Linked DNA regions of Rattus norvegicus. Each later gene encodes a partner of the first gene's protein in a complex. Links are inferred from orthologs where the notes say so. Each region holds a gene or a part of one and is shown on either strand. Other genes may lie near its edges.

Region 1 (9,779 bases):
AGATCCTAGGAAAGAGCTCTAACTGCAAAGAAAAAGCAAGAGTATGTGAAGGCTGGCACTGAGGGCAGGGTCTCACCGTGTTGAAGCGGTAATAGATGAGATGTTTCAAGTCCTTGCACATGCGGATCTGCCGCATCAGCTTATATTTGTATCGATACATGCCTGTCAACTGTCCCACGTGGGCAAATATATACTGCAATCCATCTGCCAGCTGCAATAAAGTCACCCGTTAGCCTTAGAGCCGGAGCCAGCTCCAGAGCCAGCACAGGCTTCGCCCCATCTCTCCATCCAGGCAGGGGTCCAGGCAACATGGCCTCACCTGGAAGGCATCTACATTGCCCAAGCGATACTGCACATGACTATCCACAACCAGCTTAGTCAAACGCAGTACTTCCCGACACAGATGGAAAGCATTCCCAAAGCGAGATTTTTTTCTTTCCTGAAAAGTCCAAGAACACAAGGAATATTAATGAGAGTGGCCACAGAAGGTATCCCACAGTGCCATCCATCTTAAGCACGTCAGAGCCATGAGGTCCCAGACAGGCACCTTGGTGGTGAGCGTCTTGACAGGCTTCAGGTTGAAGTTATAGTCCAAATGCAGATAGTTGAGGTTCTTACGGTGAATGAGAAGGTTAAGCATGTTGTAGCCCTGGCGGCAAACCTGCAGCCCGACCTCCACCCAGTCCAGCTTGGTAGACTGAAAGAATTTGGTAGCTTTGAAAGAGCGAAACAGATACCTGGGTAAAAATAAAGAAGAAACTTAAAGTGACATACTGACATTTTTGGAACACAAGGTGTAGCAGGGGCCTTCAGCACCTTACCTCTTCTTCTGCGCTTTGGGAGGCCGATGTTTGAGGGCATTCAGCACATAATACTTAAGCAGCTTCTGATAGGAGACTCGAACTTTCACAGGTTGCCCAGCAGGACAGTGCTCCCGATACCTGGTTAAATAAGCCCATCAGAGCCTTGCCCACCCATCCTCCAGACACTCTGCAAAGGCTGCATACTTATCCAGCCTTTCCTCTTATACTGCACACCACCCAGCCTCTCTCCTATACTGTACACCACCCGGCCTCTCTCCTATACTGTACACCACCCAGCCTCTCTCCTATACTGTACACCACCCAGCCTCTCTCCTATACTGTACACCACCCGGCCTCTCTCCTATACTGTACACCACCCAGCCTCTCTCCTATACTGTACACCACCCAGCCTCTCTCCTATACTGTACACCACACAGCCTTTTCTCCTGTACTGTACATCTACTACCCCTTAAGGAGAAACCTCACCAGTTCTTGACAAGGGGAATGTCGAGGGCCCGGCGGGTACGACCAGAGCGTAGGTTGAAGGGCCGTGGTGCCCAGAGCAGTGCGATGCCATTGGCTGTATTGTCTGTATAGAGAGGTGTATCCTTCAGGAAGGGCTCCACAAACTCTGGGAGCTCAAACTCCTCATCATCATCAGGTAGTGGCTCTTGGCTCTGAAAAAGAAGTCCTCAAGGGTTCATTTCCCACTCACTGAGCGCAAAGCTGAGATGAGCAGAAAACTCTCGGGATCAAGCATAATGTCTACACATGCCATGAAATGGATGCCTGTAAAAGAAGCCTAAAGAGCTAGACAAAGGAGCCAAGGGAGTAGAGACGAGAGCCAAGCAGGAAGTCAACCCACCTGCTTACCACCCAAAGCCTCCCAAAGGAGCTCCAGCACCATACTACAGAAGTACCCACTGCAATCAGTTCCTGTCAAAACTCCTGAGCTTGAGGAAGGAGCCCTGAAACCCCAGTATGTAGAAGGAAGCTAAGACAGAAAGACTGAATGAGCAAGACCAACCTGAAACTACACAGTAAATGATTTAGGCTAACCTACACTACACAGTAAATTTAGGCTAACCTACACTACATGTCCAAAAAGAAAAAAGTGGGGCATAGGCTGCTGAGTAGCAGAAAACTTGCCTAGCATGGATAAGACCCCAAGCTCAATCTCCAAGACTCTCATTCCTCGCTACCCTCCAGAGCATGTGATTTCCTCTTACCTTGACTGAGTGTCTATGGGAGATTGGGTTAATCAGAGGATCAAAGTAGAAAGCTGGCAGATCAGGATCCTCAGTCTTGATGAACACAACGTTAGGAGTGTGGTACCTATAACAAAAAGAGTCAGCCAACTTGTTCTTGTGTTCTGGCCTTCCCCTTTCTAACTGCTGTGTTCTGAGCATCTTACCAGGTCAGGTGGACATGGTGTGGGAGGTTGTTATAGAGGTACGGAAAAGCAATCTTGTACTCAGTACGAATAGGCTGACGGATGATGATCTTGTTAATATCATTGAATTCATTCCAGTCTTCATCCCTACAACACAAAGTCAAGTGAGTAGTCTAGTTCCATTGTTATACAGGATCTTAAGGTAAACTTTAAATTTTAACACACACGAGGTACCTAAAAATTGATACTTTCTCAACTTACTGTAGGTTGATGTCTCGAACAAGAGGTTCAAATTTGGGTCCCCCAGGAATGGCCATGTTGAGTGCCTTAGAGGTAAAGAAGGCCTTTAGATCAAAGAGATAAAAGTAGTTGTCATCTACCAAGTCAGTCAGAAGCTGGTTGGCCAGTCGGTAGAGAGTGGACATCATAGGCAATGTGAACTGCCAGCGTTGGTAGGTGGAACCATTAACATACCTAGGGAAAAGATGGAGGGCCCACATCAGGTAGGCATTGAGCCAAGCCTCTTACCTACGGCCTTCCCACAGCTCCTGTTTCCAGAACTCTCACAGAAATTAGTTCCACTCACTTCCTACTATCTCTCAATGGCTGGTGGTCATAGAACCAGTCCAACACAGGGGCATCCTCCTCAGGGTCCAGCTCTAGCTGAATGGCTTCCAGTGGCTCGACATCTAAGATGTTGTCAGCATAATCCAGGGGCGGCTCCTCATCATCAAAAGGGGGAAAACGCATCCTCTTGAAATGCCTCCTGTCTCTTTTTTCTCTACGCATCATGATCCACATTGACCTATAAGGCAAGAGCATCATGCCCACTGATCTCAACTGCCAATACTTCCGCCCCCACAACACCCCACCAGATGCCACCTCCCCCCACACTTCAGCCCTTCTCACCCCCACTGGGAGATGTAAACTGGCTCAATAACCCAGGGAATCTCGTTAACGAAGGAAATGGCTCCAGTGATGTGGTACAGCACAGGCACATCCCGGATCTGCTCCCAAGGCATGGGCATGTTCTCTAGGAGCTTGAGAACTGCGTGAGGCATGTACTTGAGAGCTCTGCAACACAAGGAGGAGAAACAATTAGAAACAACTAAGTGTTCATCATTTGTCCCTTGCTGACAAGCCATAAAGTTATCACGTGTTCCATACAAAATGCTGCCTTATATTCCAAAGCCCCAAATTAGGACGCAGATCCTACATGACTTCCAGTATGGCCTCCTCATCTCCATCTAACACCACTCTCCCTTTTAAATGTCTTAGTTCCACAATAGTGGGAATCAGCCTGTATAAACCAACACCTGTCCCTTTGAAAGCAACTTCCTTCTGCCCTTCCTGTAAATACCAGCACATTCATGGCTCTACACAGTGACCATTTGTCTCTCATTTACCATGCCACTAAACTTAAACTCCTAAAAGGAAAGGTCTATCCATTGAGGACCAAAAGCAAGTTTCAATAATAATAATGATGATGATGATGATGATGATGATGTTTGTTGTTGTCTGAGACAGGGTCTTACTATATAGCCCTAGCTGGCCTGAAACTCAGTCTAGAACAGAAGATTCATTCTCCTGTCTCTGTCTCCCGTGCACAGAGACTAAATGCCTGGCCACCAATCTGGCTCTTGTTGTTGTTTTTAATGGAGCATTCCACGGAGCAGCTTGAGCTGGCCTCAAGCCTGTGACAGTCCTGCTCCTGCAGCTCCAGTGCCGACATTACGTCCAAACACTACCACACTGGTTACCAATTACTGCTGCAGAAGTAGTAAGAGAGACTCCAGGAATTAAACATCCTAAACTCCCAAATGCTAGTGACCAAAAAGCATCCAGAGTGTGTCATATCTTGAGCTTCAAACAGTTCAACAATAATAGTATTTAACAATGACATCAGCAGGACAAAACAAAGCAAAAATAAGTAGAAGACTTGGCAATTATCACCGAATCCCAGTGGTCCTGGCTTTACTTCTACAAACATCCTATGTAAAGTCTACAGCCATGTTCCATGCTGGACATGATGGTCTCTGCCTTTAATCCCAGCTCTTAGGAGGCAGAGGCATGGGGATCCCTGTGGATTCTAGAGCAGCATGGTCAACAGAGCTAATTCCAGGGCAGAAAGGCCCACACAAGGAAACTGTGTCTCAGTTAAAAAGTCATGTTCCAAACCATAGTCCCTCTATCCAACACTGTCAATGAAGGGGCCGAAAAAGGAAAGAAGCCAAACTCCATATGAAATTATCCTGGGATGTTACTTACCCCAAATAGACCCTTTTGTCATGACGGAACTTCCTGTTGGTCATGTCTCCATGGTCTCGAATGATTTTCCTGACATGTTCTGGGGGCATGTCTTCCTTCTGAGCATCCACAAACCCGAATTTCCGCTTCTCTGCATAGCGCTTGGCCTGCAACTGCTGCCATTTTCGAGCTATAAAAGCATCTCAGTTAAAAGGGCTGCCCACATTCACCCTAATTATCCCCCAACTCTTGCCCCTGGGGTAGCCCTCAGCATGCTGTGAAGAGGAGAACTACTCACTGATAAGTATACTGCCATTTTACTACCCCAAAACACCTGACATTTTTGCTATTGATGTTTAGGGAAGGGTTGCTGTCTAATCCCTTCAGAGTAATGCAATCCCTATAAAGGAACAGCTTTTGTCACCATTGACGCATCACACACACACACAATACACACGCGCACACACACACACACACACACGCACGCACGCACGCACGTTAGCTTCCTGCAAATAACAGACGCTTCCAAACCTTCAATGATTTAAACACATTTTAAAACGTGTAAATACTGCTAATAAGTACACCCCTGATGACCTGCCTACAGAGGGAAGAAATGAAATCCGCCTGCACGTTCGAGCCCGCGCGCGCCGTTCCCGTTCGCCTCTCACCTTTCTCCTGCAGCTTCTCCTCTGACATGTAATCCGGCAGCGGGGCTAGAGGGCCGGGCACCGGGTTACCCGGCCCTCTGTAAGGAAACACTCCGGCCATGCCGGGAGAATCTGGGATGGAGAGGCAAGCCAATACGAATCAGCTAGGCCCGGGCCCAGAAGAGAAAGATGGAACACGTCCGGCGTGCCCTGGCCTGCACCCTAGCCGGGCTGAGAGCTCGCGACCCGGGCCTGGCGCAGCTTCTCGGCCGCTCGGCCCACTCGACAGCCTTGCAGCCCAGCCTCAGACGCCCGCCACCCACCTGTCGTCCCTCACTTAGGTAGCGGCAGGGCTCGCAGAGCAATGGCGGAAAGACGACGTCCGCTCCGCGTTCCCAACTCCAGGAAGTGCGCAACCAGGTTCAGAAGCTCACCCAATAGGAGGCGAGATGCTTCGATGGATTAGCGAAAACCCCAATTGACGGTAAAATTCGCGTCGGGGAGGCGGGTCTAAAAGCGGATTTCACTGCGAGGGGTGGGGCCGGGGTAGACTCACGCCCCGCCTTCCGCCAGTCAGTTTGGTTTAGGAGGCCTGTAATAGAACTGACATTTAATTGGCTTTTAACATTGCTCCCCAAAAGCCAAAGCCATAACAATTTTAATAAGTTTGCCTACGTTGCACATTTTTCTTGTATTTACTCTCAGGAATTCAGAGCTGATATGCAGTACTAGCTCCTACTCAATGAATCCTTTGTTCTTTTATTCCTTCGTTATATTATGGTTAAGAGTGCTCACTGTGTACCAAAGAGTCAAATAACTCTTGGAACGTCCAAAGCAGAAGGAAGTCTGGCAAGAATGTATGATCTGGATTGGGAATGAACCTCAGAGTACGGTGTACAGGAGGCCCTTGGTTCATTCGATTTCTGGCAACGCATAGACCTTAGGGATCTCAGCACTCGTGGGACACTGGGTAGTGGAGGTGGGGCACAGGGAGCTGTAAAGACAGGATGATCATAAATTCAAGGTCTGGACCTGGGGGTTGGGGATTTAGCTCAGTGGTAGAGCTCTTGCCTAGCAAGCTCAAGGCCCTGGGTTCGGTCCCCAGCTCCGAAAAAAAGAAAAAGAAAAAAAAAAAAAGTCTGGGCCTGGAAAAATGACTGAATGAATAAGAGCCTTGACTGTTCTTCCGGAGAACCTGGTTCGGTTCCCAGCAATCACATGGTGCCTCACAACTGCCTGTAATTCTGATTCTACAGGATCTGATCCCTCTACTGCCCTCTGCAGATACAGAACACACATGGTGCACATACATGCAACCCAAACACCCATATACATAAAATAATATTTTTTCAAAAAGAAATTCAAATTCTTCCTTGGCTTTGTAGAGTTTAAGACCAAACTTTGCTACATAAGACCACACCTCAAAAACAAAACAAAGTGTACCAAATAATAGTTTTTAAAAATTAATTTTAAAAAATATGGATTGGGGTTGGGGATTTAGCTCAGTGGTAGAGCGCTTGCCTAGCAAACGCAAGGCCCTGGGTTCGGTCCCCAGCTCCAAAAAAAAAAAAAAGAAAAAAGAAAAAATATATGGATTAATGTTTTGCCTTCACATAGTATGCCTGTGCACCACAAACATGCCTGGTACCCAGAGAGATTAAAAGAAGACATTAGATTCCCTGGAATGGAGGTAGATATGATCCACCACTTGGGTACCAGGAATTGGGGTCCCCTGCAAAATCAATAAATCTTTTTAACCCCTAAGCTATCTCTCCCAAACCCTAAAGATTCGTTTTGTCTTGTCTTCCCCCCCCCCCCCCCCCCCCGGAGCTGAGGACCAAACCCAGGGCCTTGTGCTTGCTAGGCAAGCGCTCTACCACTGAGCTAAATTCCCAACCTCCCTAAAGATTCTTGTAGAGCTTGTAGCAGAGCATGCTAATGACTTCAGGGTCAGGGTTTCTGAGGTTAATGCTTGCTTATTCTAAGTAAGGTACTAGATTTAATGCCTGGCACAGCAAACAATAAAATAAAGAATAAAAATAAAAACCCTGCCAGTCAGGATAGCAATCCCAGAACTTGGGAGGCAGAGGCAGGTGATCTCTGTGTTTTTGAGGCCAACCTAATCTACATAGAGAGTTCCAGTACAGCCAAGGATACATAGAGAGACTGTATCAAAGCTAAAATAAAATAACAGTTTTTCCTTGGAAGATGGGAAGAGATAACCTAGAAAACTTAGAAATGTCTCTGGGGGATTTCATTGGTAATGACTTTCTTTTCTCTCTTCTCTTTCCTCTATCAGGCAATAATAACATGCTATAGACAAAAACTGTTCAGTGTAAATCATGAACCTATAAAGGCCTTAGAAGGAAGGTTGGAAAAAATATAGGAGCAGGACTGAGGATGTAACTGGCAGTAGAGCATTTCCAAGTATTGCAAGGAGGGTCTGTATTCTGTCTGATGAAAAAAGGTGGATGAAAAGGATTCCACCGGAGTAAAAGATCAGAAACAAAGTAATTCCAGGTGGCCAGAACTGTTACAATCGAAAGGCTACAATAGAACTCTTGTGTTTATCTTTCTCTCAGTGTTAAGAATTGAGCCCAGGGGTTTGGAGATTTAGGTCAGTGGTAGAGCGCTTGCCTAGCAAGCTCAAGGCCCTGGGTTCGGTCCCCAGCTCCGAAAAAAAGAAGAAAGAAAAGAAAAGAATTGAGCCCAGGACTTGACCCAGGGTCCCTCTACCATCAAGCTGTTTCCAGACTCCTAGCATGAACCTGTGGAAAGAGTATTTTCCAACACTGGGGAGGCTGAGGCAAGAGGTGGCATCTGGGCTGCATAGCACGACTCTGTTAAAAGAGGAGAGGGAGAGAGGAGTGCAAAGTAGAAGATGAGTAAGAAGAAATAGCAGAGGGAGGGAGGAAAAGAAGGAACAAAGTTAGGACAGAAACTAATATTACTCCTTAGAAACAGCCGGCAGACACACCCGGGAGTGGTAGCAAGTTTCGCGTCAATGTTATCATGGTCACTATTGTAAAGTCCTTGCAGTGAATGTCACTATGTGGTAGACATTGCTCCATGTTCTGGTAATGTTCCAGGAGAGTCTGTAGTTTCATTAATAGTATTATAGGAACGTCAGTTTTCCAGTCTGACTGTCATACTATGATTATGCATAACACATTCTCTGAAGATCGAGAGATGGCAGGGTGGTTAACAGCACTTGTTGATCTCGCAGAGGGCCTGGCTTTCCTTCCTAGCTCCTACAGGGCATTTCTTTTTTTTTTTTTTTTTTCTCGGAGCTGGGGACCGAACCCAGGGCCTTGCGCTTCCTAGGTAAGTACAGGGCATTTCATAACCACTTGTAACTCCAGCTCCAGACAATCCAACACCCGCGTCTGACCTCTATAGCCACCTGTCTACATGTGGTGCACAAACACAGACACTCACACAAATACATAAAATAAAAACAAATCAATCTCTTTAAAAGTTGTTGGGTTGGGGATTTAGCTCAGTGGAAGAGCGCCTGCCTAGCAAGCACAAGGCCCTGGGTTCGGTCCCCAGCTTCGAAAAAAAGAAAAAAAAATGTTAAACCATCTTTTATTTTGTTGTCTTGAGAAATGTCCTGGCTGTCCTGGAACTTGCTATGTAGAACAGACTGTCATTGAAATGAAGAGATTTACTGCCTCTGCCTCCTGAGAGCTGGGATTAAAGATCTGGTCCATCTCCACCCAGCAAAAGTGTTAAACTTTTCAAAATAAGCTACGAGTGTAGAGAAACTTGTTACATTGTTTCTATTATCGTTATATTATTATCATTATTCTTTTTAGAATGTAGAGAAACTTGTCATTGTTTTCATTGTTTTTATTATTGTTATCAATTTTTTTTTTGAGGAAGTGTTTCTCTGTGTAACATGCCTGGCTATCCTGGAACACACTCTGTAAACAGTCTGTCCTCTAACACGCCACCACCACCCAGTTAAAACTGTATTTTTGGGGCTGGGGATTTAGCTCAGTGGTAGAGCGCTTGCCTAGGAAGCGCAAGGCCCTGGGTTCGATCCCCAGCTCCGAAAAAAAAAAAAAACTGTATTTTTGTTGCTGCCAAGAAATGTTTAACACACACACACACACACACACACACACACACACACACATCTATACATCTTCTAAACTACATTATTGAGTCAAGTTTTATTACATTCATTTAAAGTGCACAATTCAATGAGTTTTAGTATATCTGCTGAGTTATCACCATTATTTAATTCTAGAATATGCTCATCATTCAAGAAAGAAATGTTGTAGCCATTAGAACTGCATTCTTCCTCAGCCCCAGATTTCTGTCTTAGAGTTCACATGTTCAATATTTCATACAGATATTCTTGAGCAGAGAGGTCTTTTGTGACTGACTTCTTTAACTCGGCATAACTTATCTAAGGTTTATACTTGCTTTAGCATGTGTATCTTCTTGGAAGAAATTCCTATTCCTAGACAAGGCATAGTACCCTATACCTGTATCATTAACATGAGGGGACAGAGGCAGGAGGATTGCAGAGAGTTTTTAAAAGGGGAGAGCGAAGAGATGACTCTTTCAGAGACCTAGATTTGCTCGCCAGCACCCACACAGCTGCTCACAACCGTCTGTAACAGTAGTTCCAGGGGATCCGGATGCCCTCTTCTGGCTTCCTGGGGTTCCAGGCACACA
Region 2 (9,679 bases), on another chromosome or scaffold:
TGTGTTGTCAGTGAAGCACAGTTTTCTCAAGTGTCTGAGACATGGGTATTGTCAGTTGCTTAGATGTATGTGGTGTCTATGGAGTAGTTTTTGCTATGGTTGTAATTAAAGGGTGGGGTGTGTGGAGGAAAGTGATTTATAGAGTTGTCAGGCCTTTGGAATCAGGTAGATGAAGTTAAAGAAGATCATACAGACTTAGAGATTTCAACTAGATGAGCAGAGAGGAAGTAAATGGAGAGAGACATTAGGTGAGAAATACTTGAGAGGGAGGCAGTTAGTCTCACCGTAGGCACTCTTATCAAGGGCCAGGAATGCTGCTTGTTCCCAGCATCCCTTGTTCTACAGTAGATGCCTTTAAAAAGAAAAGATTTATTTATTCTATATGAGTACACTGTAGCTGTCTGCAGACACACCAGAAGACGGCACCAGATCTCATTACAGATGGATATGAGCCACCATGTGGTTGCTGGGACTTGAACTCAGGACCTCTGGAAGAGCAGTCAGTGCTCTTAACCACTGAGCCATCTCTCCAGCCCTAGATGCCTTTTTTAATACTAGCACCAGAAGTCACCTTCCTGAGACATGAGAGTCTTTATAAGGTAGGGAAAGGAGGAAGTCAGAGCCACTTTGAAGAAGTGGATGTTACAAGGTCTTCATTCATTGTTATCACAGGGTGATGAGATACATTTGGATGATGACAGGGTCACCAAAGTACCTTGAGAGAAAGAGAAGGCTGAAGAGTAAGCTTGACCTTGAGGAGTGTGGGTGTTTGTGGTCAGGTAGAGGAGGATGCACGGAGTATGGGTATGTGACAAGTAGCCGGAGAGGATGAGGAGGCCAGCCAGTGCATGTTGGTTCCTTTCCTGCCTCTGAGCTTCAGCGTGTTCTTTTCCTTTTTTCCCAGGGGATGGAGTTGACTTCCTGTCTTGGTTTCTGAATGCTCTGCACTCAGCTCTGGGAGGCACCAAGAAGAAGAAAAAGAGTAAGTCATGATGCTTGTCAAAAGAGCCCTATTTTCTTTCTTTCTTTTTTTTCTCACTAAAAAACTTTTTATAACTTCTGTCCTTTTCATTTGTGTTTGTTTGTTTGTTTTTCTGTGACAGGGTTTCTTTATGTGGCCTTGGCTGTCCTAGAACTCATTCTGTAGACCAGGCTGGCCTGGAGATCCACCTGCCTCTGCCTCCTGAGTGCTGGCATTAAGGGTATGCACCACCGCCCAGCCCACTTCTCATTCTTTCCTTTGGGGTGGGAACAAGTGGGGGTTAGCGTGTGTTATCTACCTTCCTCATCGGAGACAAAGTCTTGCCCGAGCCAGCTGGAGCTATCCTGGAACTCAGGTTCTTCCTGTCTTAGTTTCTTCCATGCTCAAATGACTTTGAACTCCTGATCCTTCTGCTTCTGCCTCCCAAATGTTGGGATTACAATTAGGCTGCACTAGGCTTAATAGACCTTGCTCTGTGTTGTGTTAGAGTATGGTTATATTCTCAGCTTATTTTTCCCTAGTTTTTGTTGTTTTATCTTTTTCTTTCTTTCTTTCTTTCTTTTTTAATCTTTGAAATACAGTCTTTTTCTTTTCTTTTGAGATGCTGTATGAATTTATTAGTCAGTGAATTTTGACACTGTGGAAAAGCATAAAAGTGCTCAGGACACCAGCATAGCATAGAGGTAGGAGAAGAGTTAGGCTCAGTCCTAACCCCAGGGAGTCTAGGGTCTAGAACGGGCAAGCATGCATGGGTTAGAGTGGAGGTGAGAGAGGGCAAGGGGAGGCTGCGGGGCTTGTTTGTCCATCTCTTCAGGGATGCCCCTTCTTAAAGTGGAAGTCAGATGTTCTGCTTTCTAGACTCCCACCCTGCCCGTCAGGTGCCTGTGTCTTCTCATCCCCTCCCTCCTCCTCTCCCTCATCCCTTTCTTCCCCCTCCTCTTCCTCTTCCTCCTCTTCCTCCTCCCATGTCTCTGCCTCTTCTTCCTTCTTGTTCCTCCTCCCGCTCTCTCACTTCTCGGCCTCTCCACTTTCAGCTTCCCCTGCTTCCCCTTCTCCTCCTTCCTGCTCCTCACTATCTCCCCTCCTCTGGCCCTCTGACTACTCCATCTTGTTTTTAGTCTTCAAACACAAGACATTCCTCCTCAAGACCTTTGCCCTGCCAGTGCCTACTTCCTTAAAGTCTTACAACATGCATTTTGTACTCTGGCAAACTGCTGCTGACATGTAACCTCCTCCAAGAGGCATCCAGGACTGCTACACCCAACAGGGCCCTGTTTTGATCTTGGTGCCCATTCTTAAGCATACACAGCTCTTCTCAGTTTACCACAGGGCTTCAGTTGTCCAAGTAACTTTCATGGACATGAATCATTTGCTTGATTCCAGTGAAATAGAGTCTTGCTGCGTATCCCAGATGGGCTTGGAATTTATGATCCTCCTGACCCAGCCTCCCAAATACTGAGATTACAGATATACCCCACCGCACCTAGCCGTAGCGGTATTTCAAGCACAAATGCCTGGAAGATGCTGTGTTAAGTGAAGTAAGCCAGACAGAAGCCATGACTGTGCTATCACTCCAGAAGTGACCTTCCAGCAGCTCAGAGTAGAGCCCTGGTTGCCTGAGGCCTGAGACTGGATGGACTCAGATAGAAGGATAAGCAGGAAGAGCAGCTCTCAACGTCTCTGACACAGTAGAGTAGCAGTGGTTGACAGCACTGACTGTATATGTTGGTGTAGCAGATAGAGAGGATTTTGAATGTTTTGAGCACAAGGAAGTGATGAATGTTCAGAGATGGATATACCAGTTAGTCTCAGCTTGTCCTCATTGCACTCTGTATGCACTTATTGAAATGGCACTCTGTTTCATTAATAGTGTTGGCTATCAATTAAAGTCCCTCACCTGCCCAGATTAAAGTTTTATTTACTCAGTGCATGAGTTTATGTATTCCACATGTGTAGTACAAGAGCCCTTAGAGGTCAGGGTGTCACAAGCCCCAGGGAAGCTCATTTTGTGGTGGCGGCAGTGGCGGCAGCAGTATGAGGGATCTATGGGCATGTACACCTGCATGCCAGAATCCCATGGTTGTGAGTCACCATGTGGGTGCTGGGAATTGAACTCATGACCTCTAGAAGAGCATCAGTGCTCTTGCTGAGCCATCTCTCCAGCCCCCTTGTTTTTGTTTTTTTGAAACAGTGTTTCAGTGTAGTTCTGGAACTGGCTCTGAACACCAGGCTGGCCTTGAACTCACGCAGATCACCTACCTCTGCCTCCCAAGTGCTGAGATTGAAGACAAGTACCACCACCCATTGACTAAAACATTTTTTAACAGGTCAGAACTGGATATAATTATGCCCTAGGAATCTTGACCCATTTTAAAATGAAGACTTGGGTCATTATGTTCTAGTCCTTAGGTTCCTGCCAGCACTACATAGAGCTGGTGAAGAATGGAGCTGAATGGCAGAACAGACCCTGGCTCTGTACTTGGAGCCATAAAGCTGGCCTCTTAGAGTCTCACACTGCAAGTCCCTCTGACTTAGCCTCTCTTGGTTTAGTGGTCAGTTGATGTTTATTTTGAACGCCAGCTGTAGCTTGTGGCTTACAGACTTCAGATCCAGCGAGGTGTTTGGAGACATCATGCACTTTAGTTTTCTTCCTTTTTGTTTCATTGATTGATTGTGTGTGTATGTGTGTGTGTTTTGAGATAGGGTCTTGCCATGTTGCCTAGGCTGCCTCACATTCCCAGTCTTCCTGTTTGCACTGCCTGAGAATAGGCTTGTCCCACCCAGCTCTCTTGTCCTCTGTGTTCTGACGGCTTTGCTGGTGAAGGAGCGTAGGTGAAGGAGTGTAGTGTTTTGCTCTAGAATGCTCTGCCCCATCTATGGGGTACACTCAACCATGCTCATTCTCTCAGGCCTCCAACTTGTGTCTCACTGGGATTCTAGGAGCCCGTGAGCTTTGCAGTTTTCCTTGGGTTTTTGTTTACTGTGTTGTGTTGGTTATTTTTCTCATGTACAATGTGGGTTCTGCATTGCCTCCCTTCGAAGGTACTGTGTGATTATGAGAAATGTCTTGGTTGAACTGCTTTTCACCGTGTGTGTGCGCATGTGTGCGCGTGTGTTTGTGCACGAGTGTGCTGTGGAGGTTCAGGACTGGTATTAGGTGAAGACTCTTTACCCGACTTTGTTTAGCATGCAGTGCTGGGGATCAAACCCAGGTCTTCGTGTGTGGTGGGAAGCTCCATATTGATCAGACCATCTCCCTCTGCTTATTTTTTTGTAGTTTAGTTTCTTGTTTTGAGGCAGGGTCTCATGTAATAGAAGTTGCCTTTGAACTATTGATCTTCCTGCTTCCACCTCCCAAGTGATGGGATTACAGGTGTGAGCCACCATACCCAGTTCTATGCCCAGTTTTAACTGATAGTTTTAAAAATTATTAAGTATTTCATATGCATGAATAATTTGCCTGCTTTTTGCCTTGTGTTTCATGTGTGTGCCTAGTGCTCTCAGAGGTCAAAAGATGGTATTGGAGCCCCTGGAACTAGAGTTATGGGTGATTGTGGGCCATTGTGTGGGTGCTGGGAATCAAACCTGGGTTCTCTCTGTAAGAGCAACAAGTGCTCTAAGCTTCTGTGCCAGCTCTTCAGCACTCATGCTCACTACCACTGTCCTTCTGTCTGTCTGTCTGTGTTCCTTTCCCTCACTTCTCCCTCCACCCCTCCCTCAATCCCTTCCTCGATATGCATGTGTAAATCGCTCATTCATTTCAAATGAGCCAGCCCACTGTTGAAAGAGTGTCTATCCTGTGGAAGAGCTACAGTGTAATTAGATAATTATACATCACCTTGATGATAGCTGGTATGAAGGGAGGCTCCTTGCTTAGAGAGAGCTTGATTCTTACACCAGGAGGTTCTTGTTTGTACCTGAAATGAATTTAGAAGTTGGGGGTGTGTGCCTGTTGTGCTTTCTGGCCTCACACACTTTGTATTCTTTACTTGTACAGCTATTGTGAATGATGTTTTCCAGGGATCAATGAGAATTTTCACCAAAAAGCTTCCTCATCCTGATCTGGTGAGTGTCCAGAACAAGAGTTTTAGCTTGCTATATGCTACCTCAGGGGCGTGGGAAAGCACAGGAGCACAGAGAGTGGACAGAGTGTATACCATGAAGAAGTTCCACAAAACACTCACAGCCCTGGCCTTATTGTGGTAATGTGCTGTGGCCTCAGAGTTTGTGGTTGTGTTGGCTAAAGTGGTCTGACCACTAAGTGTTACTGGTATGTTTTCCAGAAGGCTCAGCCAAGGTTCTTCTGTAATCTGAGAACTTTTCAAATGGTCTGGTATATAAATAAAACCAGAAGGTGAATAGCAATTTTTTCTTTAAAAGTTATAAATAAATTAATGGGCGTGACTGTGTCGTTTCTAAACACATATGTCACTATACTTGGTTCTAATTAATCCCTCTTTTGATGTCCCCTGTTCCCAGTGCCCTCTTCCTGGAAGGTTTCTCCACAAATAGTTCCTCTTTTTGCTTCATGTCACAAATACTCAATCACCCTCCTCCTGTTCAGTGATCCCTTTCCAGTTTCATGACCACACATGCATGCGTGGGCCACCAGTTTCTGAATGAGCATTGTCAGTGGTAGTTTCGAATACAGCTCCTTGGGCTCCAGACTAGAGAAGGTGTGAGTACACTTCCACACAGGAGCGCCATGTCCTCTGTGGGTTAGCTCCGTGATCTCTTCCCACACACTGAGGGTTAGCTCCATGCTCACTCTCCTGTCCTCTCTCATCCTCTCATCTTATCCTTTCCAGCCAGCGGAAGAGAAAGAGCAGCTGCTCCATAATGAGGAGTACCAAGAGACAATGGTGGAGTCCACGTTCATGTACCTGACGCTCGACCTTCCCACTGCTCCACTCTATAAGGACGAGAAGGAGCAGCTCATTATCCCGCAAGTGCCACTCTTCAACATCCTGGCCAAGTTCAACGGCATCACGGAGAAGGTAACTGAGTCGCTTTGTTTCTAACTTTCATCCTTTCGCAGTGTTAACAGCAGGGCCTTGGAAGAAGGCAAGCACTCCACAGACAGGGTACTCCCAGCCGCCTTGTCTTTTCATATTTCAGAGTCAGCACATACATTTCATATACTTTCTCTAAGTGCGTTGTCTTTTTCAAGCCTCCCAGCTTCTGGTGTTTAGGGCTCTCTCTCTTTCTTTCTTTCTCTCTCTCTCTCTCTTTCTTTCTTTCTTTCTTTCTTTCTTTCTTTCTTTCTTTCTTTCTTTCTTTCCTTCTTTCCTTCTTTCCTTCTTTCCTTCTTTCCTTCTTTCTTTCACTCATTCAAGATTTTTATTTATTTATTACATATTAGTACACTGTGGCTGTCTTCAGAGACACCAGAAGAGGGCATCAGATTTCATTACAGCTGGTTGTGAGTCACCACGTGGTTGCTGGGAATTGAACTCAGGACCTCTGGAAGAGCAGTTGGTGTAGAGCTCCTTACATGGTTCATGCCTGCTTTTGAGTACTGTAGAGAACGGTAGAAATTTAGACGTTTGGAAACAGTAAATACAGAGATCTCACCTTTTAAAACTTACTATTTTTATTCTGTTTTGTTTTTGAGTTAGGACTTATATAGCCAGGTTAGCCTAGAACTTGCTGTAGAATGAACCTTGGACTCCTGACTCGCCTTCCAACACTCAAGTGCTGGCTTACAAGTGTAGGCCACCATTTCCAGTGCTGACAATTGTTTTTAATATGTCTATTTGCTCTTGATTTTTGTTAATAATATGGGTGCATACTCATAAGGAACAAATTGTTGGTAATATTGGAAATGATGACCCTGGTCTGTTGGGAAGATGTCTCCTGAGGCAGGGTGGGGTGGGGACCCTGTTCCCTCGCCACTCTTTTGCAGTAGTGTTTTCTTCTTCTGAGCTGGAGGGGCAGTGTTGGCCACGTACCCTTATTTTTCTCGACAAGTTATTCCGTTTTATTTTACTAACATTTTAGAGGAAGCACCAAAGCCCTTCCTTTGTAAAGGTTACTAGATGACCTTCTAATGACTGCTGTTTGGAAAGGAAGCAGGTCTGTAGTCCCTCACTTAGAGAGTCAGAGTCTCTCGTTTGCTGTTAGTAAGGCCATTGTCCGATGGTTTTGAAGAAGGCACATTCTGATTGTTAACCAGCATTTTCTCAAGTGTTAGTGAGACGGCCCAGCAGGTAAAAGCACTTAGGACGTAAGCCTAGAGACCCTAGATCAGTGCATGCAGCCCATAGTGGGAGGGAAGCACGGACTCCGGGAAATTGTCCTCTGCCTTCCAGATGCGAATTGTAGCACATGCACACTCACATTCATCCAACATCCCCCCCCCTTTCTCTTTCTCTCTCATGCACACACTCAAGTGTACACACACACATGTAATAAATTGAAAGTATTTTCTATTTTCTTGGGCAACTTGTGGATTTCAAGTCTGTTTTCATCCTCAGAACTTGGTCAGTTCAGAGGGAAGCCTTGTTTGGTTGTTTCTTTCTGCTTATGATTACTCTTTTACTCCTATTTCTTAACTAAATGTGAACTTTTTTTTTTTTTTTTTTTTTTTTTTTTTTTTTTTGCCATGCTAAGGTTTGGCCTCATGTATGCTAGGTAAGTGCTCTACTGGGCTATATCCCCAGACAAGGATAAAAAATTTGTATTAAGAAACAACTATTTGGGTTGGGGATTTAGCTCAGTGGTAGAGCGCTTGCCTAGGAAGTGCAAGGCCCTGGGTTTGGTCCCCAGCTCCGAAAAAAGAACCAAAAAAAAAAAAAAAAGAAACAACTATTCACAGTACTAGAAAGATGGCTCTGGGATTGAGAGTATTGTTCTTGTGAGAACCTAGGTTCAATTTCCAACTCCCACATGGTGCTTTATGACCATCTGTATGTAGCTCCAGTTCTGGGGAGTTGGTGCCTTCTGGTGTCTGTGGGCACACATGGTTCACAGACAGGCAACACATAAAAGAAAAGAAAAGCACCTCAGTTCACCAGCTTTACACCCCGTGGCCTAGACAGATGCCCTGGCCCTTCCCTTTCTCCTCGGGCCATGCAGAGTGAGCTTACAGGACATGTGACCCACTAGACTGCTTACAAAGCCAGAAGATTTTTTTCTCAGATGCGCACTTTGGTTTGAGATACATCAGTGCTTCCTATATGCTGAGCACAGGGTTTTCTTATACCCCAGCACAGGTCTTTAACGCAGGAGTGGTGTAAGAAAAGTCGACGACCACGTCCTTTGGAATACTGAGGGTGCTTCACTGCTGCTAAGTCAAGACATTTTTCTCTGTTTTGAGTAAAGTAAGATCTGTGTGGTGGAAATTCAGCTTTTAACTGATGTTTAATTAGCTAGTTAGTTGTGTTTGCCCACACAGCAGTGTGATCATACCCTGGCTGACACGGCCCGTTGTCAAGGTCTCTTACTTAATGTTTGCCACACTGCTGATTTTAGCCTCTTTTGTGATTTCTGAGACTGGGTATCTTTTGAAGTCTAGGTGTGATACAGAGTTATGTTTAAAAACCAGAACAAAGGTCAGGCGGTCATTCTGGTACCTCCTGAGTGCTGGCACTGATGACATCAAATTGTCTTTGTAGGAATACAAGACTTATAAGGAGAACTTCCTGAAGCGCTTCCAGCTCACCAAGCTGCCTCCATATCTAATCTTTTGCATCAAGAGATTTACAAAGAACAACTTCTTCGTGGAGAAGAATCCAACAATTGTCAATTTCCCTATCACGTGTGTATCACCTTGCTTCACTGTGGTGGGGTCCCCCACCTCTTTCTCTTTGAGACAGGGTCTTAGGTAGCCCCGGCTGTCCATGGACTTGACAAATGATCTTGAACTCCTGAAACTCTTGCCTCAGCCTTCCAAATCTGTAGCCGCCATCTATGGCCAGGAGTTTAGACATCCTTCCATATTGTTTCTTTTGGATTGACCTGGTTGGGATTGCAAAAAGCACCTTCCTACATCATAGATATGAGGGGCTTGCTAGAAGGATGTTCCAAAGGTGACTCCCTAAAGGAAGATGCTTCCCTAGACCCAGCCATTTATTTACTTGTTTGTTTGCTTATTTGAGACTCAATCTCATGTAGCCCATACTGGCTTTGAAGTCACTGTAATCTAAGATGACCTTGGACCTTTGATTCTCCCGCCTCCGGCCTCCCAAGTTCTGTAATTACAAGCATGTAACAGCACACTGCCATAAATTACAAATTTTAATATGGGACTTCTTAATCTACCCTGTAGTTGAATTCTCATGACTCTTGTGAAGGAGCTGGAAGGATCCCAGATGACTTTAGTCGGCTGCCTTCTCATTCAGAAAGACCTCACTAGGGTAGACGATTGTTTTTCAGATCTGAAGAGCCAAGGTTTTTAATTTTTTAATTAAATTTTAAAAATTATGTTAAAAATAATTTGCATGCAAATAAGTCTGTATCATATGCATGCCTGGTACCCATAGAGGCCAGGAGAAGGCATTAAATTCCCTGTAACTGGAGTTGTAGACACTTGTGAGCCCCCATGTGGGTTCCAGGAATCAAACCATATTCTTCTGGAAGAGCACCTAGTTACCCTAACTGCTAAGCCATCTGTCCAGCTCCAAGAGACTGTGTTCATGTGATCTGAAGAAGTTCTCTGAGAACATGGAGAAAGCCCATGGCAGTCTGACGTGAGTG

What was found.
Region 2: Prpf8 (region 1) and Usp39 share a complex: the UniProt entries of both Homo sapiens proteins name them as parts of the U4/U6-U5 tri-snRNP complex. The link is inferred for Rattus norvegicus from reciprocal best matches to the Homo sapiens genes PRPF8 and USP39.

What each region holds. Positions count from the first base shown.
Region 1 is NC_086028.1:60,825,482-60,835,260, reverse strand, and holds the start of Prpf8 (pre-mRNA-processing-splicing factor 8), read right to left. Parts: upstream 5,484-9,779; 5' UTR 5,414-5,483; intron 5,248-5,413; exon of another isoform or gene 5,223-5,247; 5' UTR 5,212-5,222; coding exon 5,112-5,211; intron 4,634-5,111; coding exon 4,465-4,633; intron 3,271-4,464; coding exon 3,106-3,270; intron 3,002-3,105; coding exon 2,783-3,001; intron 2,671-2,782; coding exon 2,458-2,670; intron 2,344-2,457; coding exon 2,218-2,343; intron 2,139-2,217; coding exon 2,033-2,138; intron 1,481-2,032; coding exon 1,290-1,480; intron 942-1,289; coding exon 822-941; intron 738-821; coding exon 548-737; intron 440-547; coding exon 320-439; intron 212-319; coding exon 77-211; intron 1-76. UniProt on the Homo sapiens protein: Plays a role in pre-mRNA splicing as core component of precatalytic, catalytic and postcatalytic spliceosomal complexes, both of the predominant U2-type spliceosome and the minor U12-type spliceosome.
Region 2 is NC_086022.1:105,936,989-105,946,667, reverse strand, and holds part of Usp39 (U4/U6.U5 tri-snRNP-associated protein 2), read left to right. Parts: intron 1-904; coding exon 905-982; intron 983-4,979; coding exon 4,980-5,047; intron 5,048-5,790; coding exon 5,791-5,979; intron 5,980-8,598; coding exon 8,599-8,741; intron 8,742-9,679.